Linked DNA regions of Caenorhabditis elegans. The main gene of each other region encodes a partner of the protein of the gene in region 2 in a complex. Each region holds a gene or a part of one and is shown on either strand. Other genes may lie near its edges. The genes, in order: ccf-1 and let-711.

Evidence for each region.
Region 1: let-711 (region 2) and ccf-1 share a complex: the UniProt entries of both Caenorhabditis elegans proteins name them as parts of the CCR4-NOT complex.

What each region holds. Positions count from the first base shown.
Region 1 is NC_003281.10:11,918,328-11,922,380, reverse strand, and holds ccf-1 (CCR4-NOT transcription complex subunit 7), read left to right. Parts: upstream 1-2,143; 5' UTR 2,144-2,160; coding exon 2,161-2,289; intron 2,290-2,336; coding exon 2,337-2,621; intron 2,622-2,673; coding exon 2,674-3,192; 3' UTR 3,193-3,553; downstream 3,554-4,053. Other genes in the region: Y56A3A.22 (DUF1279 domain-containing protein), read right to left, coding at 220-684; trap-4 (Translocon-associated protein subunit delta), read right to left, coding at 975-1,079, 1,132-1,460, 1,595-1,640; znf-593 (Zinc finger protein 593 homolog), read left to right, coding at 3,668-3,793. UniProt on the Caenorhabditis elegans protein: Catalytic component of the CCR4-NOT complex which is one of the major cellular mRNA deadenylases and is linked to various cellular processes including bulk mRNA degradation, miRNA-mediated repression, translational repression during translational initiation and general transcription regulation.
Region 2 is NC_003281.10:6,944,887-6,949,883, reverse strand, and holds the start of let-711 (CCR4-NOT transcription complex subunit let-711), read right to left. Parts: upstream 3,167-4,997; 5' UTR 3,120-3,166; coding exon 3,023-3,119; intron 2,880-3,022; coding exon 2,752-2,879; intron 2,699-2,751; coding exon 2,552-2,698; intron 2,481-2,551; coding exon 2,322-2,480; intron 803-2,321; coding exon 676-802; intron 621-675; coding exon 457-620; intron 400-456; coding exon 108-399; intron 65-107; coding exon 1-64. Other genes in the region: abu-13 (Activated in Blocked Unfolded protein response), read left to right, coding at 4,237-4,631. UniProt on the Caenorhabditis elegans protein: Scaffolding component of the CCR4-NOT complex which is one of the major cellular mRNA deadenylases and is linked to various cellular processes including bulk mRNA degradation, miRNA-mediated repression, translational repression during translational initiation and general transcription regulation.

The DNA.
Region 1 (4,053 bases), 5.0 Mb from region 2:
CGTCTGTGTAATAACCAGGGCTTCCCTTTTTGTTCCTTTTTTCTTTAAAAAATTAGTTTTTTCAATAAAATTGATTTCTTTACAAAACATGGTTTTTGTCTAAAAAATCGTGCTTTTTATACAAAAAAATTGGGTTTCTTCCGAGAAAATCTGTGTTTTTTCCAAACAAATTGTTATTTAATTAAAGTTTTCGAAAAAACATCTGAAAATCCTCCGAACCTTGTACAAAATCAGCGAAACCACCACAACTCCGGCGGTTTCGGGCGTATTTTTGACCTTTTCAACGATAGCATCCGGCATATGAAGCCATTCGAGCAATGAAATCACATCAACTCCACTTTTAACCACCAAATACAATGCGATAAACCATGCTGTACACGATGCCGCGTGAGCCGGCACAGCGATATACCAATATCTTTTAAAATAATATTTCACTTTTGCGAACAACGTTTTCGGCGCTTCTTCCGCCTTCATTTGCTCGATTTTCGCCGTTTTTGCGAGTTTTTGCTCCTCAGACATTGTCATTCTGAACATTTTCCATTTTTGATCGTCTGGCTTCTTCGGAGTGGGCTCTTTCTCGTGGAGTTGTCGACTTGTGTGCAGGAATCGTGAGCTTGATGGGGTCTGGAATTGAGCACAACAGATGCTCCGCGAGCATCGGATTATGGATCGAGCCAAAAGCATTTTGCCTGAATGAAAATTTTGGCCTAAAGGGGGTCTTAAAATTATCTAAAGTAAGTTTCCCGGGGATTTACACTCTCAACTCTTTAAACTTTTTTTTACGTCAGTCTAGCAATTAAATTTCAATTTATGGCTATTTGGGGGCTACTGAACTTATAAATACACGAATGGGGTGGAAAAAGGGGCAAAAATCAATAAATTACATTTTGTATATATAAATAAAAACAAAAAGAACAAAAACCCAGCACGCAAACGTGCGTTGACCAGTAATTTGGGGATAAAAACAATGATATTTAGTGGACAAGTTCGGTCTTTTGACGAATGGCGTAGTAAAGGCCAATGACGACGATGATGACGGCGACAGTCTCGGAAGAGATTGGAGACTTCGTGGCGAGACCCTGCAAAAAATGATTTTTAAAGATAATTATGTGAAAATGATGCAATTCTCACCCCATGGCTTTGTTGAACGGTGAAGAGTGGCTTGGTGACAGGGTTCTTGGCGTATTGAGCGGCTCCCTCCTCGTCGAAAATGTTAATATTAAAGGTTTGAGCTCCGGCGTCCTTGTGCTCAAGAGTCCATGAGACTTGGAACTTGGCGGTCTCGTCGGAAATCGAGACTGGGATAAGGCGACCGTTTACTTCAGCAGTGTATTGGATATTCTTCGGGTTGTTGCTGCATTGAAGTGTGAACTCGGTGATGAAGGTGGTTTTGTAGTGGAAGAATCCGTCGGTAGTGGAGAATGACGAGGCCGAGTACTTTGGCGACTCGCACTTGGCGCCTGGAATATTTATTGTTTTATTTGTATTAAATGTTAACAATCTACGCTTAAAATTCGAAAAATCGAGCCTTATTTTTATACAAGCCACACATTTGAATAATTTGTGTGGGAATTTATTAATTTTTCCAACTTACAAAGAGCGGAAGCGACAAGGCAAAGGGCGACGGCGATCTTCAGCATTATTACCTGCAAAAAAGTAATTAAATTCGTGTTTTGAAGAATTATCTTGTAAAATGAGTAAAATAGGCATTCTATACGTATTTTACTCGAATTTGCATCATTTTAACGCACAAAATTCATGTTTTTAGGGTAAAAATCAAGAAAATAAGTGAAAAATTCATTAAAAACACATTTTAATTCACTAAAACGATGTTTTCTCGACAGTTTCACGTAAAACAAACTCACTTGGCAGCTAGCCAGTTTGCAGTTCTCTCCCGTTCGCTGCGAGACCCACACCGCTGGGAAACTCCATGCGCCTTTAATGCCGATCCAAAATCGATCGTTCAAGAACTTCTTTTGCGCTTCAAAACTTTTGCAAACTGACTTTTTCTCCCGTTTTTCTGCTTTAAAAGTTTGCGGAAAAATTATTTTATTTATTTTATAAGCTATTTTCGATTTCTGTCCCATAAATTCGTTTAAAAAAATCGAAAATAAAAGCGTTCACTCTAAAACGAAAATTCTAGTTCCAGATATCATAAAAATGGCTTCTAGTAGCAGTGGTGGAGCAGGTGGAGCAGGTGGAGCAAGTGGAGCACCAGAAGTCAAGATTCACAACGTATATATGTCAAACGTGGAGGAGGAATTCGCGAGGATTCGAGGATTCGTCGAGGTACAGCCGATCGTTTGAATATTTTTAAAAAATCGGTTTTTTTTCAGGATTATCCCTACGTGGCAATGGACACAGAATTTCCCGGAGTTGTGGCGACACCGTTGGGCACATTTCGAAGCAAGGAAGATTTCAATTATCAGCAAGTGTTCTGTAATGTGAATATGCTGAAATTAATACAAGTGGGCTTTGCAATGGTCAATGACAAAGGAGAGCTACCACCGACTGGCGATGTTTGGCAGTTCAATTTCAATTTCTCCTTCGCTGAAGACATGTTCTCGCATGAGAGTGTCGAAATGCTCCGGCAAGCCGGAATAGACTTCACATTGCTGCAGGTTTTTTTAATATTGATTTTCCAATATTTTAATAATAATTTCTTTCTTCCAGAACAATGGAATACCGACAGCAGTATTCGGAGAACTTTTGACGACGTCAGGCCTCATCACTGATCCACGGATCACATGGCTCACGTTCTCTTCCGGCTACGACTTTGGATATTTGTTGAAAAGCATCACACTTGGAGATCTGCCTAAGGAAGAGTCAACGTTCTTCATGTGCCACAAAACTCTCTTCCCAACCAGCTTCGACATCAAAATCCTGCTCCGAACTCCAAATTGCGCGTCTGCAAAGCTGAAAGGAGGACTTCAAGAGGTCGCCGATCAGCTGGACGTGAAACGACAAGGAGTTCGCCATCAAGCTGGATCCGACGCACTGCTGACCGCCGCCACGTTTTTCAAGATCAAAAAGCAGTTTTTCGGAGACAACTGGAACCAGATTGCTCCATTGATCTGTGGACATATGTTTGGTCTTGGATCTTCGCTTTCGCTGTTCCATAGCTCCGGATCAACTTCTCGACTAGGCGATGAGACACCACAAGGCCTAATCGGAGTTCCACAACAAGCCTGAACAGATCTCTTTCCCGTCATTTTTCATGTGTCTATTTCTTTTATTTTTTTCTTCCTTTTTCCACCAAAAACCGTCTACACTGTTATTGTAAATTAGCTGTCTGTTTCGTGCCCTTCCCCATCTCTCACCCAAGTTTTTTGTGTTTTCACGCGCCCTATAATTTGTCTTTGTTATTATATCTCCCTATACTTGATGACTATACGCTTAGTTGTTTATAGGTGATCATTACTCTGAAAGTTCGATCTTTTTTATTTGTAATTTTCAGCAGCAGTAGAAGCTGGGCGAGATCGGGCGCCCCGTGTATCTTTTTATTTTCATTTTCCCTCCCCTATGCCCAAAAAAATAAAAATTTTCGAAATCTACTCGCGGAAACTTTAAATTTTCAACTAAAATAAGGGTTTTTGAGCCTGAAATTATCTTTTTCAGCTGTTTTGTCTAGATTCAAAGCTTAACAAAAGTAGTATTTCAGCAAAAAATGCCGAGCGGTGGACAGAGGAAGCACACGATTTCGAACAAGACACGTAAACGTCCCGGAAAGGATTTGGATCAAATCCATGAGGATTTGAAGCCTGAAAAGGCCGCCAAGCTTCTCCAGCAAGAGGTTTTTCAGATTTATTACTCGAAATAAACCCTTAGAATTCGCAACACTGCCGCACGGTTGTATTTTAACTGCTTTTCTACAATTTCGCGTTAATTTTATCAGGAAATCTGGCAAATAATCAAATTTTGCTGGAAAAAATGCTAAAAACTCGTAAAATAAAACTGTGCGGTGAAGTTGCAAAACTGCGTGCCGCGGCATTGCGGTGTGTCTCCGCCCTCTAACAAAGTTTCGTTTTTATTCATTTTATTCTCTTTTTTCGA
Region 2 (4,997 bases):
ATGTCAAAATTGTACTGAAGCATGTATAAAATGGCATTTGCAACTGAATTGTTAGTCACCATTTCTGAAAATCCTCAATTATGAAGTAAATTTTTTAAAAATCCAACTTTTCTGAATTGGTGCCTGTTTCAATTCGGTGACAAAATTTTCAACAGAAGACAACAGCGATACTCCGTAAATCTCCATTCGCCTGAGCAGAGCCTCTCTTCCAGAATCAAGCAATGCATCCTTCACAGGTTGAGTGAACTTTGTATCACCGAGCCGGGCAGTTGTAATCGTATCAGCCGCCTGAACATCCATGTCAATTGTCCCACCACTTCCAGCTGGTAATAGTTTAGTATTCGAGTAGAGAAGGAAGGCCAGTGCTTGAACAATTTCAGTGTTGTCCGGGTTGGAACACTGTAATTTTTTTGTTTTTGGAAATTTAAGGGTTTAAAAATAATAAATTATTCTCACCGATATCAGATATTGTACAAGTTTGATTGGATCGGTAGTCGAACTGATGATAACTTCTTTCACTTCTTTCTCCAGAAATGTCTGTACTATTTCTATCAAAGTTTGTGTTGTGAAGTTGCCACGTGCAATTTGATTGTATATTTCAGCACCTTCCGGAGAGACGCCTTCAAAATTATTTGTAATGTAAAAAAAATTGAATTTAAAAAAACGGTACAGTACCCCACGTATCAGATGTATATTCACAGTGACCAAGGAACAAAGGCTGAAGATAGTGACGAAGACGCCGGCTCTTGGCGAGCTTGCTGATAAACGGAAGGACCACCAGAGGATCGAATAAACCGGCTAGCTGCAAAAAAGTATCAAATAATTAATTTGAAAAAAGAATCAAAATTCAATTTTTAATTTAGCATTTTATTTATTTAGAAAATTGAGAATAATCTTACATGCAAGACTAATTGTTGGGTCTTAATGATAATTTTGAAAATTATTCTCAATTTTTCATGATATTTCAAATTTTGCAACGAAAAAAATCAAATGGCTGATTATGCCACGCCCACTTTTTTCAAGTTTTCCAATAAAATAAAATGTCACTTCTTGGTTTTTCATTTGTAATTTCAAAAAAGACGTCACATTAGAAATATTTAAAAAAAAAACAAGAAAACCCAGTTAAATATGCCGAAAAACAGGAAACTCTTCAAAAAGTGGGCGCGTCCTAATAAATCATTTGAATTTTATTTTTGCAAAATTAAAAAATAATTTAAAAGTAATCTTTTATTTTTAACAATTTTTTTCTGAAGAAAAACTGCTTTATCACCAGTAATATGGCAGGAGAAAAGATCGACAAGTAGCAGAGAAACTGTCAAAGAAAAGCGTCGTTTGAATAAATGTGTAATAGTTATATGACGCCAATATAACACCATTCATCTACTTTTAAAGGGATTCATCGTAAATTAGAAAAGGCTTGATAAGAGATAAGATCAAGAACAAGACCAAATAAACTGTATTGTCTGGAAAATCTGGGCGCTAGTCTACAGTAACCTAGTCTTGGCCTAAATTAATATAAATAAATATATGAATTAAATGATAAAGGATTAGTCTCTGGCCAGTGGACTTCTAACAATTGACCAGAAGGCCTAGAGATTTGAAGAAAGAGAGAAAAATGTGATATTGTGTATATGTGTGTGTGCCTTCTCAAGAGAGTTCTCATCCCGTGAACTTTCTTTATATATCTGTGTCTCTCTTAATCTCGTGCTCTCTTTCAATGTTCCCGTAAGCTAACAGAGGACCGTCCGTTCCTAAAGTCCATCTCCTCTTAGTCTTTCTTTCTTTTTCTCTCTGTCTGTGTGTGACCACGACGATCAAATGTTAATGTTACAGCACTTTTCGCATTCTGCGTCTTGTCGTTATTGTCCGGCACGGGCGAGAAGTGATTATTTGTATTTTCACTCGAAGAATCATACGTTGGGAAAAAGAAAAAATAGGAGAGAGTGCAAAATTGGGAAGAATTAAGGATCGAAAAAATTACTTGAAACTAAATATTTAGATTCAAGATTTTTATATCACTTTGAAAACCGTCTATGAATGGAAATTAGGTAAATACACTTTTTGAAAAATAAAAATAAATTAAATATGGTTTAAAAATTTTTTTCTAACTTGAACAGAAAATTATAAAAATTATAGAAAGTTTTTGAAAGGCTAAAGTATTTTTGGAACCTAGATGCTTATAAATTTACTTTTGTCGAGTCGAATTTTAACGTTTATCTTGGGTTGAATAAAGTTTCAACTTCCCAGAAAATGGAGTTTATATTATTTTCAAGGGGATAGCTTTAGTAGGAAATTTTGAAAATTTAAAAATAAAAACTCACTTTCTTGCACAAATGGGTCAATGTCTTGCTGGCAACCATATCATCCATGGTCTTCGTGTATGCATAAATCAAATCACAGAGAGCCGAAGTGAGACGTTGAGCTCCAAGAATCTCTATTCCGCTTCGATTAATTTGTGTAACTGTCGAATAGGAGAGTATCTAGAAACGAAATATTTTTGAATAAACACTATGTAAAGAAAGCTTCAAAACTCCAAAAAAAAAGCGCTTACAGTGTGAAAAAGACTAAGGGCAGCGTCTTCTTCAAGAAACTTTTTCGCCGGTGCTTCGATTTGACAGAAATTGAATGCAGAGAGAATGATATTGGCTGCATGATTTGGCAATGATGGTGATGAACGACCACAAATGACTACGAGACGCTGAAAAATAGCTTTTTCCTCCCAAAATTTTAGTTTTCATTCGATTATCCTACCTGAATCATGAACGAGTGAGGTTTCACACGATGAATACTGCTATGAGCAAGAAGATTGTCGATATAAGCACAAGAGCAACTATTCAACACGAATCCCATCGGCATTTTCGACAAAAGCGTGATGGTGCCTGCAAATTTTTCAAAGATTTCAACAACATTGTGAAATTTATAAAACAGCTTCAATAAATAATTTCCCTTCATTAAAAAAAATCATAAATCGTTTCTTGAAGAACAAATTACATATTTTTATATTAGCTTAAAAAATACTCACCTTTTTTGGAGATAGGTCTCTCCAAATTCTCTCGATTCCGAATCATATGATTTTCCTCCACACGAAAAACGGGGGCCAACCCTGAAGTTGAATGCATTTTCAACAACGAATGGGGCGAAAAATGAGGAAAAAACGAATTAAAAAGTTTGAAAACTTAAAACTCGCGCTAATTTTTGTGAAGCGCATTTTTTAAAGATCAAATAAAACTATGTGAAGAAACAGTTAAAAATATTGAAAGATTGGCGCCGTGCCAAGATCCGTTCCGTTTTAATTCTAGTTTGTAAACGACACTCCGAAATTCCGAGGCGCGTGTTGTTTAGTGTACAGCAGAATGGAGGATCGACAGCTGCAGCTGTGAGAAAATGAGCACCGATCCATGAAATGTGTCGAAAGTTATAAAAAAAATGTGCACCATAAATTTTATAACTTTATAGCAGTTGACCAAATCACAATCATACAAAAAACATGCGCATGTACTTCGAAAATGTTGAAAAATATCCGTTTTTAAGAAATTGTAATTTTTCCTGTGAACGTTTTATTATATTTCAATTTTGCTTCTTGGTTACCGTATTTTTGTGGCCACATTCTCAAAATTATTCATCTGGGAATATAATATTTGGATGACATATGCTCTGTTTTGAGTACTCCATTTTTTTTAAATTAAAACATATTTGGGCGTGTCGAGACAGGGTACTGTGAATCGGCAAAATTTCGTATCTGTGTAATAGTTTAACTTTGAATTGTGGATTATCTGAAATACTGTCACATTTGAATGCCTCCCCTGACAACTAATTCCCGTTCGATAAAAAATAAAGTACAATCCCATAAATCGTTCATCAGATGTCACCACCCTGTCAAACTTCTCGCTGTTTCAATTTCTAAGGCAATCCGTACGCACGGATTTTCCTCTTTTCTCTCTCTTGTTGCTTACAAAAGAAAAGAAAAGAAAAGATAAAAATCGTGGTTGTAGGGAAAACGATGGGTGAAGAAGGAGGCGGTGTTGATGGTTCTGGACATGGAACATAAACGATCTCATGTCTGACGCTCTTCGTCTATTCATACTATTTTCGGATGACAAAGCTAAAAACCCGTTCCGCACCAGTTCTCTGCGTCTCTAAAACATCCAGATCTTCTATTCTTTTCTCCAGAATCGCAAGAAAAAGAAGAAGCTGAACCTCAAATCTCAGTTCTTCTTCGATTTCAAAATTCCAGTGATGTGGCTCCTGATAGCTCTTCTGCCCTCTGTGGCTCTAGCGCAGAACACCTTTCAAAACACTATTTTTGACCTACCAGCTCAGCTAGGTGGTGAGCCAGTTGGTGTCGCTGCTCAAGCTCAGGGAGCCCCACTTTTTGTGCAAACCGCTGATCAGAAGCCACCAGCAGTTGCCGCGCCACAGCTTCCAAATGCTGTTCCAGTAGCACCACAAGCTGCTGTCACACCAGCTCCATTCACCTTCCCAACTCTTCCAACAGTTGCTCCATTCACTCTTCCAAGCCATCCAACATTGGCTCCATTTACCCTTCCAACTCATGCTCCATTCACATTCCCAACTCATCCACCATTGGTCTTCCCACCACCAAGTACTCCAGCTCCATTTGTTCCACCAAGGTTTGTGATTGAAATGACATTCGTAAGCGAGTTGCGCATAAGAAATGGAAAATTGGAAATTGTTCAGTTTGATCTTTTACCGATCAACAAAATAGTTTTTACTATTATTTCAAATAAAAAAACTTCATTTCCAAAAGCGAGATTTCCCATTCTAGGCTATTATTGTACTATGAGTGGAAATTAGTTTCAGGTTTCACAACTCATAATATACTTGTTAGTTCATTTCAATTTTACTTGTTAGTTCATTTCACTTGTTAGTTCATTTATACTTGTTTGTTCATTTCAACATTTAAAATGCCCAGTTTTTAGCGTTATCTTCAAAATATTCAAAACATCTGGTTTCTGTAGAAAAGCAGTACAAACCAG